2 linked regions of the Kluyveromyces lactis genome follow. The protein of the gene in region 1 purifies or fractionates together with the protein of each later gene. This does not show direct contact. Links are inferred from orthologs where the notes say so. Each region holds a gene or a part of one and is shown on either strand. Other genes may lie near its edges.

Evidence for each region.
Region 2: the proteins of BUD4 (region 1) and AXL1 purify together in Saccharomyces cerevisiae (affinity purification with western blotting; 3 studies listed by BioGRID). This does not show direct contact. The link is inferred for Kluyveromyces lactis from reciprocal best matches to the Saccharomyces cerevisiae genes BUD4 and AXL1.

Annotation. Positions count from the first base shown.
Region 1 is NC_006041.1:537,414-541,704, reverse strand, and holds the start of BUD4 (Bud4p), read left to right. Parts: upstream 1-1,195; coding exon 1,196-4,291. UniProt on the Saccharomyces cerevisiae protein: Required for establishment of the axial budding pattern in haploid cells.
Region 2 is NC_006040.1:1,317,952-1,322,302, forward strand, and holds the start of AXL1 (Axl1p), read left to right. Parts: upstream 1-1,233; coding exon 1,234-4,351. Other genes in the region: KLLA0_D15576g (uncharacterized protein), read left to right, coding at 436-690. UniProt on the Saccharomyces cerevisiae protein: Probable protease. Involved in axial budding.

The sequences.
Region 1 (4,291 bases):
TTTAAATTGGTTCAAATCAAATCAAATCAGCTCTCAATATTTAAAAATGCCTTCTTTATATTTCAATATAGTATGACAATGATGAAATATTAACAAAGTTAGAAAAAACACTAGAACAAATATACTACCATAGCCAGGTAGAATAAAAGGAAGATGAATGAAAAGGGGATCGGATTTTGAAATTTTCTCGATTATTGGAAAACGCCGAACAGAATAAAATAAAGGAAATAGAAGAACGCCGAATGACAGCAAGGCAGTAAGCTAGAAAATCCTGTCAGTTAGGATATTGCTAATGTACTGGCCACAGTACACTGTTTTTTTTATATATAGTACATATGTTTGAAAACCCAGGAACTTTTCAGTATTAACGACGCAGCACAAATTTAGCGCGCATTATGCCCCTATTATGGTGATCTTCAGCTCTTCTCGTATATAGAGAAAAAATGATGATTTACCAGGACAATAAATGATCCAATTCGAATCACACTCTGAGTATTTAGAATTAGAGCCAGTGAAAATAATACGCAAGTATGCCTCTGCGAAGAAGCTTGGTGATTGAAGCTCAAGGTTTATATTTCCTTGGTACTTGTCTTTGCACGCCCTTTCTTTGATTATCTCTGCCAGCGAATGGAAAAGTAATTAATTGTCAGGAACTATGATTATCCGGGTAAGAGCTCGGCACGTGAGTTTCCTCGGATATGAGGCGGAGGTCGGTGGCTGGAGAAAAGAATAAAATATTAATAGAATGAATTTACTTACCCGGAATTACTGCTAGTTGAAAATTTGAAATCACGTGAATACTTATGTAATTATGATCTCGTTTTCCTTTGCCAATTCTGTGTTTTTTTTGGTTTTTCCTCTAATTTGATGTTTACGTATTTCCTAATTCAGATATTGTCAACAAACACTAGGTGATTGACAGGGAAATTTAACATACCCCATCAACAATGGTTTCCATTGTTTACTTGTTTGCCCATTGAATATGTTCATCAACTATAATATATTGTTGTATTTTGTAGGGTTTACATCTTTCATTTCTTTGTTTATACTAGATCTCATTTTTTTTTTGAAGGGAATTGTTTTAACGATTAAATCAGTGATCTTAACTCTCATCACATCTTTGAAGTGGTAATATTCCATTTTATTCGTCGTCAATTTAAGTCCCTTAGTCGAATATACCTGAGCATCTTGGGCAATGCAAATGGAAGACAAAGGCGAGGCACTTAATCCTGATGCAATGTATTCTCTTTTGAAGGAGATTGACCAAGAGATTTCTCACACCGACAATATCAGCATTGATCAACTCCCAGAAGAGGATACCTTGGACAATGAAAAGAAAATTGACGCCAGTGAGAATGTCATTGAAAATACAGAGGAGGAGGCTCTCCAGTTGGGTGACGAGAGTGCAAATACAACTACCGAAATTAAAGAAACATCTTGCACAGAGGACCACGATACTGTCGAAAACACAGAAGATGTCATAAGTATGGCAGAAGGACTCGATAAAGCACCTCTAGAGACTGCTTGGATCAAACACAACTATCAGCAGACTAAACCTGTGGTTTCAAAAAGATTAATCTCAAATGATGGATCAGACACTTCTGTTGAAGATATTAATGCAAGTACCAGAATTCCTTCTTATACTTCCGAAGAAATAACTGGCCTAGAGTTGAAGGATAAGATGGTCACCGATGTAGGTGAAAGATTATCTCATTTCCTAGATCAGAAATATGCTGAGAATCCAAATTTGCCTGCATTGAAAGGAATGCTCTCAATGGCCGATGAAAAAGCCATGGAAGATGACCCAAAAAAGGATAAACCATTGGTGTTCACAATTGAGCCAACTAAACCACTTTTTCCTTCGAAGGAAGTATCTTCAACCATGATTCAAGTCGAAATTCACACTCCTGATGAAGATGATGTTGATGGTGCGGCAGCAGACACCAAAGAAGCAACCAATCTCCTGCTTGATTCTAAGATCCCAGTCACTCCTAACGTCTGCATCAACAGATTCGTAAATAATAACGGGGAAACAAGGGTTTCATCTGGCTCATCGACAGAAGATGCACAAGAACTTAATACGCACAGATTTCAGGACCGGTATCATCTTCTCAGCGGTGCCCAAGCAGTTCCACAACTCCCTCAGTTGCCTGCTTTAACATTGCAGGATTATAAGTCATCAAGTGTTCAAAGCGTTAACGCTTCAAGAATATTTAGTGTTGCAACTACAAATGACAACTACCAGTCGGCAAAAGAATATGATTTGTCCTCAACTGTTGGATGTGAAGAACTCTCTGATGACGCATCAGTAAAGGACTTAGAGATCCCGGAACCGAATGAGTTGCCTTGCTTTCCGACTTTTCAACTGGACTCTACTTCCATGAAGACATCCAGTTCTATGGAAACGGTACAGCATGATAAAGCAAAGTTCAACTCAGACGTCAATATCGCGGATGATACTATGGAACAAATAGAACAAGAGGAGGCAGAATTGATTTCTAACCCGGAGAGAAGTGGAAGTCCTACAAATGATAATATGTCTCAACATAGCCAGAATAGACAGTTGCTGGGCGTATCAGAGGTGTCACAGGCACAACAGGCACCAGAGCACCATGTAGAAATGTCAGTTGAGTTTCAAGACGAAGGAAGAAGGGATATAACCAGTAGCTTCTCGAGAGAAAGTGATCGAATCGAGCTACCACCTTTGCCTCCTATGAATGGACTTTCGACAATGTTTGACCAGGATTTATTCAATGACCATGAGACCTCGCACGAGTCAATTGATTTAACTTCGTCGTCCCACAAGGAGAATTATCTGTCAATTTGGCACTCACAGAAAACAGGGGGCAGTTTTATATCTCCAGCATTGAGCACCAATTCTCAATTTAGTACTCAATCACGTACATCATCAGTGCCGACAAATCATAGCGGAAGTTCATTTAAATTCAAATCGAGAATCATTTCGAATTCTCATGTATTCAAGCAAGAAGCATTTAGACAATTCAGTGATGAGTATGTCCTCAGCACACAAGATGATAGTAAGTTGGATCCGCTAAGAAGAAATACTATCATGTCCAAGCGTATCCAGCAAGAACTCAAGACACAAGCTAAAATGTATCCATTTGCTAATAAATTTGCTTTGGATGAAAGTTCGGAACCAAGTATACACAACGAATCAATTATTACTGGGGACATTTCGAGAACAAGTGACAAGGCGGTTGACACTACAAACATTTTATCCCATAAGAATTTGACACTTTTGCCGCCGCAATCAACTGAAACTGTATTTTCGTCCTTTTTAGACAATTTTGATAAAGACGACTTTGAAGAGAAGTTGGCAGAAGAATCTCGATTGAACTCAAAGAAGAATCTTCAAACTACTTGGGGTCATTTCCGAGACGTCAGTTCTGGTAATGTAGATATTAAGGCAACTCAGCAACAGATTGCTGAAGTTCTTCACAATCAAAACGAAGATGTCGTTCAAGTGGGGTCGCATATTCAAGATGTTAAGGTGTTACTCGGGAATGAAATTGAGGGATACGATGTTCAAAAATCAGTATCGGATCTGTCAGTAGAGACCACAAAAAAATCGCCAATTAAGCACGTAGGATCACCCTTCAAAGTGAAAGCTCGATCTGAAACACCACCTCAATCGCCCGTAGTCTACGAAAGGGATACTACAGAAGTAAATGAAGGACTGCAGCGAGCTCCGACGACATCATTAGCTTCTGTTTATCTAGAAAACTCCCTTCAAGAATTTGAATCCTCGGAGCTTCAAGATCATGGCAAACTATACTTGAAACTAAAGAGTATCAATTCGCTTCGTTTACAACAAATTAAACGCCATAATGCAAAGTATTGCATAGAGTTTGATAATGGAAAAGAGGTTATTGAAACACCGTGGGAATCCATTCCGGAAGATGGTCCTATTAAAATGAGTCAGGAATTTGAAGTAAACATGGAATCAAATAACGTCACTTTATTCATGACTATGAAAATTCGATACACAAGCCCTCAAAATCAACTAACTGAGGTTGTAGAGAAGATTCCTATCAAGAAACGATTTGCGTTCGGCAAAACAAAGTATAGGCTTGAGAAAAGGTTTGTTACTAAGAAATTGAAATATGACGATTGGGACTTCAAATTCGCAAAGGATGGTTCATTTGCACGCTGCCAGGTAAATGTCAATAAAAATATGCTGAAACAAATCAAATACAAAACAAATGAGCTACACTTTGAATTCCTCAATGAATGGGAGCGCGAATTTGATGAGAAAATCGCACAAACATAT
Region 2 (4,351 bases), on another chromosome or scaffold:
AGTATGCGACATACAGCGATTATCGCTGACTCCTCTTCCTTCGAGCGATTTGCCTGGCATATATCGTACCGGCTTACAAAGTCAGCCCAGTACAGCCAAGGAAAAAAGGCAGACGTTCGCCGAGTTCTATCAGTCTTTCGCTACTATTCCTCTATCTTATCGGTCGGTCTTTCTTAGAACGAACAGATAATGAAAATCTGATATCGCCATACGGCTCCATTGAGATTTATCAGATTAAAGGGCTCGAAGAGACAAAAGGTACACCGTTCCATAGTTAGATTATATAGTACGAGAAACCTACCGTAGGTATATAAGTAAGGTTACAACCGATTTTTGGGGGGTTTTGTCCAAGATATAACATCATTTTCTTTTGTATTCATCTGATTATTAGGAAGAACACTATCTATTAACTAGATAAAAAGCAGCGCAAGGAATATGGAAGGGTTCAAGTCTAAGTGGGAAAAATTTAAGAGATACGTTTCTGGGAGTCCAGTTGAAGGTGAGAAATACGATGAGGCTCCTAAGGTCGAGGATTTGCCTCATATGGTCGATGCAGACGGTGCTCTTGTTGCAGTTTCTTCCGGGAAACACGATTTGTCCCCGGTGATGTCTGCCAAGTACAATATTCAACCTGGGAAATCCAATAATGGTTTGGCTGAAAACAAGGCCATTGACGATACTATTAATTAGAGAGGATGTAAAGACTTCAAATATTTTGTATACACTACCAATATTTTACCGTATAATCGATATTCAAATTACTTACTGCATCGAGAATTAGCTTTGGGATTGATGCTGTATGGGGTAAACTGTCCAGAAGAACATAATGGGTGAAGTTACGAGGTCACTCAAGTAACTCCTCTCGGTAGCCAAGTTGGTTTAAGGCGCCAGACTGTAATTTGAAAACACAAAGCAATTTGTAATCTGGAGATCGGGCGTTCGACTCGCCCCCGGGAGACTTTTTTTTTCCTTATTGTTTGTCTTAATTCCTTGTTTCTGACATCTAAATACTTACTTATTCTGGTATTGACAGTGAGATTCAACTCTATACTGAAGAAAAAGACTATCATAACAAGCATTGCCCAGAGTAGTTGCCTCAAGATTACTACTAACCGATGCTTTGCCTTGTATAAATATGAGTAACATAATTATAACACTCCTGAACCATTTGTTACTTCGGAAAAATGTGTCACTGATCAGTTATACGGCAAGTAATCAAATCAAAGTCACAACATGACAGCCGCTACTGTACAAACAATCGATGTTCCCATTTATACTCCGATTTCCAACTCGAATAGAGCTCACCAGTTTGTTCAATTAAGTAACGGAATCACGGCATTATTGATTTCGGATCCCGGTGAATCGTTTGCATCGCTATGCGCTTCAGTTGCAACCGGTTCCCATAACGATCCTGATGAGGTACCAGGTTTAGCTCATCTTTGCGAACACATGATTATAAGTTCTGAGTCTAAAAAATTCCCCAAAAGGAGTCATTATCATGATTTATTGATTGAATACAATGGTAATCAGAACGCTTTCACTACAGGTGAACAAACGAGTTTTTATTTCGAGATTCCAAATTCAAATAATAAAACCGGTAAACCTATATTTGATGAATTGGTTGGTGTCATTGCTGACAAGCTGGGTTCACCAATTTTTCAAAGTGCAGATATTAACAAAGAGATCCAAGCCATAGATAATGAACATGAGAACAATAAGAATTTGGTTTCGAAAGCTCTGTATCATGGTACCAAAAAATTGGCAACGCAAAGATCCAAGTTCAGTCGGTTTTCCACTGGAAACATCTACACTCTGACTCAGTTTCCTATTGTTGCTGGTAAGATAATAAATCTAAAGAATGTTCTGCAGAAACACTATGCGGATAATTTTGTTGCAGAAAACATCAGTATAGTCATTAGAGGATCACAGTCCTTGCATTATTTGAAGAAGCTGGTTCAAACTACTTTTGGAGACTTTCGTACCAAGTCCACTATCAAATCACAGTCTTTCTCCATTGAGTCTTTCAAGAAATTGCAGAAAGTCTGGGCGGCCAGATATACAGAACCGTTGTTCAGTAAACAAGAACCAGAGACTCCGAATTCAATACTGATACAGTCCTCCAAAGCACCTATACTTCGCTTAGTGTTCCCAGTATCTCACCAAGAGGCCCTGTTTAGTAGATCTGAACTGAAAATATTCTCCAAGGTTTGGTCTGATTTGTTTGGTGACGAAAGTTCAGGGTCGATTCATAGTAAGTTTAGCGCTCGAAACATATTAACCAGACAGGTGACACAGTTATCTAAGTTTACAATTGACGATGAAGGATTGGTGCTACAATTTGAATTAACTAATAGTGGATGGAAGACAGGGGTAGAAAGTTTACTTACCGATTTATTCCAGGGTTTCTTGCCCTTTTTCCAATCAATAGATCCAGATGAGATAGCGCAATATTTGAACGAATGGAATACCATAAATTTGCTTCAATTTATGTACCAGGATCTGGATAATTCTACTATGGATAAATGTTCAGATTTGTGCTCTGAACTACTGCAGTGTGAAGACCCACAGTTTATTTTGAATAACAGTATTGCCTTCTCATGCAATCGAAAAGGTTCCGATATCGGTAGCTATTATGAGAGCCCAAAATCGAAAGAATGGTGGAACTCTCAAGCTAAGAAGTTCCTATCATTTGTAAAAACCTACATGAGTTGGAATAACTGTAAGCTTATCTTTTTAGGTGACTTACAATCAAATGATTTCCTTAAATCGAGGCAGGTTCCAACGAACGTTAAATTTGATGAGCATTACAGATTTCAGTATGAGTTAAGCCTGATAAAATTGAATCACGTCAAGATGTCGCCAAAGGACTTCCGGCTCCCTAGCTCTACTGCTTTTTTGTTTGGTCTAGAAAAGAATCTATCTGCATTGAAACAGTCTCTAACGGCTGTTCTTCGCAAATCTCAAGGCTCGGCACTCTCTATCATAACGCAATCTAAATTGTTACAAACGACACCTCGACTTATGAGCAAAAACGAAAATTACGAACTCTGGGTGAAGGAAGAAAACTCATTAGAATATAGCTCGAGATCAGTGATTACTATAGAACTCATCAATATGGGTATGGAACCCTCAGCCAAGAATACCATGAATCTTGAAATTCTGACGCAGCTACTATATTTCTATATCAACGAGTCTTTATACCCTTCTGAACGTGTCGGATATATGTATCAGATAGCTGCAAACAATAGGGGTGATGTTCGATTAGCTGTTACAATAAATGGGTTCCCACAAGGTGTGGCCATGATCTTGCAAATAATCATGGATAAAATGGTGGATATTGGCAAACCTGATTTTGACATTACAAACAGCATGTTTAGACACAGTAGAATCCTTGTGCGTACTAAATACGAGGAAGCAGCAAGAGCAAATTCATGTACGCTGGCATCATTAGGGGTGTTGATCCTTTTAGAGAAGGAGTTAACAACGTTGGAAGAACGATTGGATGCGTTAGAAGATATTGACATTGAGTCCTTCAAAATGTTCTGTAAGGACCTATGGATCCCCAAGTCTAATTACATGAACCTCGTCATCCAGGGGGATCTCTCGATTGCTGAAACGGTGAATCAGTATATGGATGGTATAATTCATCACTTGTCTGGCCCAAACGTGAATCAAACCTCGGTGTTCCGATTAAGAGAGCCCGAAACAATTAAACTGGCACAAGGCAGCAATTTTTTCATCGAGATGACCAGCTTCAAAGAGGATCCAACAAACAGTGTTGTATATTTCATTGAGACTGGTGATAGAACGAACCCAGTAGATTACACTATGAGTAGTCTTTTCGAATACTTCATGTCCATGACACTTGTGCCAGATTTACGAAACAAGAAACAGATCGGATACGTGGTACTTGGAGGACTGAGGCTTTTAACAGACACGTTAGGTATACATATCTCGGTAATGTCCAACCTACCGCCACATACCATCGAAGACAGAATTGAGGAATATCTATACTACCTTGAAACCAACGTACTAGGTGCGATGACAGAAGCTGAGTTTCAAGATAATATTCTGCAAAAATACATGCAGTTGATTAAATCCAATTCCTTGGAAAAATTAATCAAGAACGCCGGACCAGCAAACCTTATGGCGCAAATTGAGGCCAGTGTGCACAGTGGTAATTACCCCTCAAACCTGCAATCACAAGGGTATACCGTAGGTCAACACAAGAAATTGAAAGATGAAATAAGTTTCCGTACCTACGCGTTCTCTGAAACCAAAGTCGATGTCTGTTTGTTATCGAAATTGACTTTGCAAGAATTCAAACGGCTCTTCATGGAGAAAATTTCAA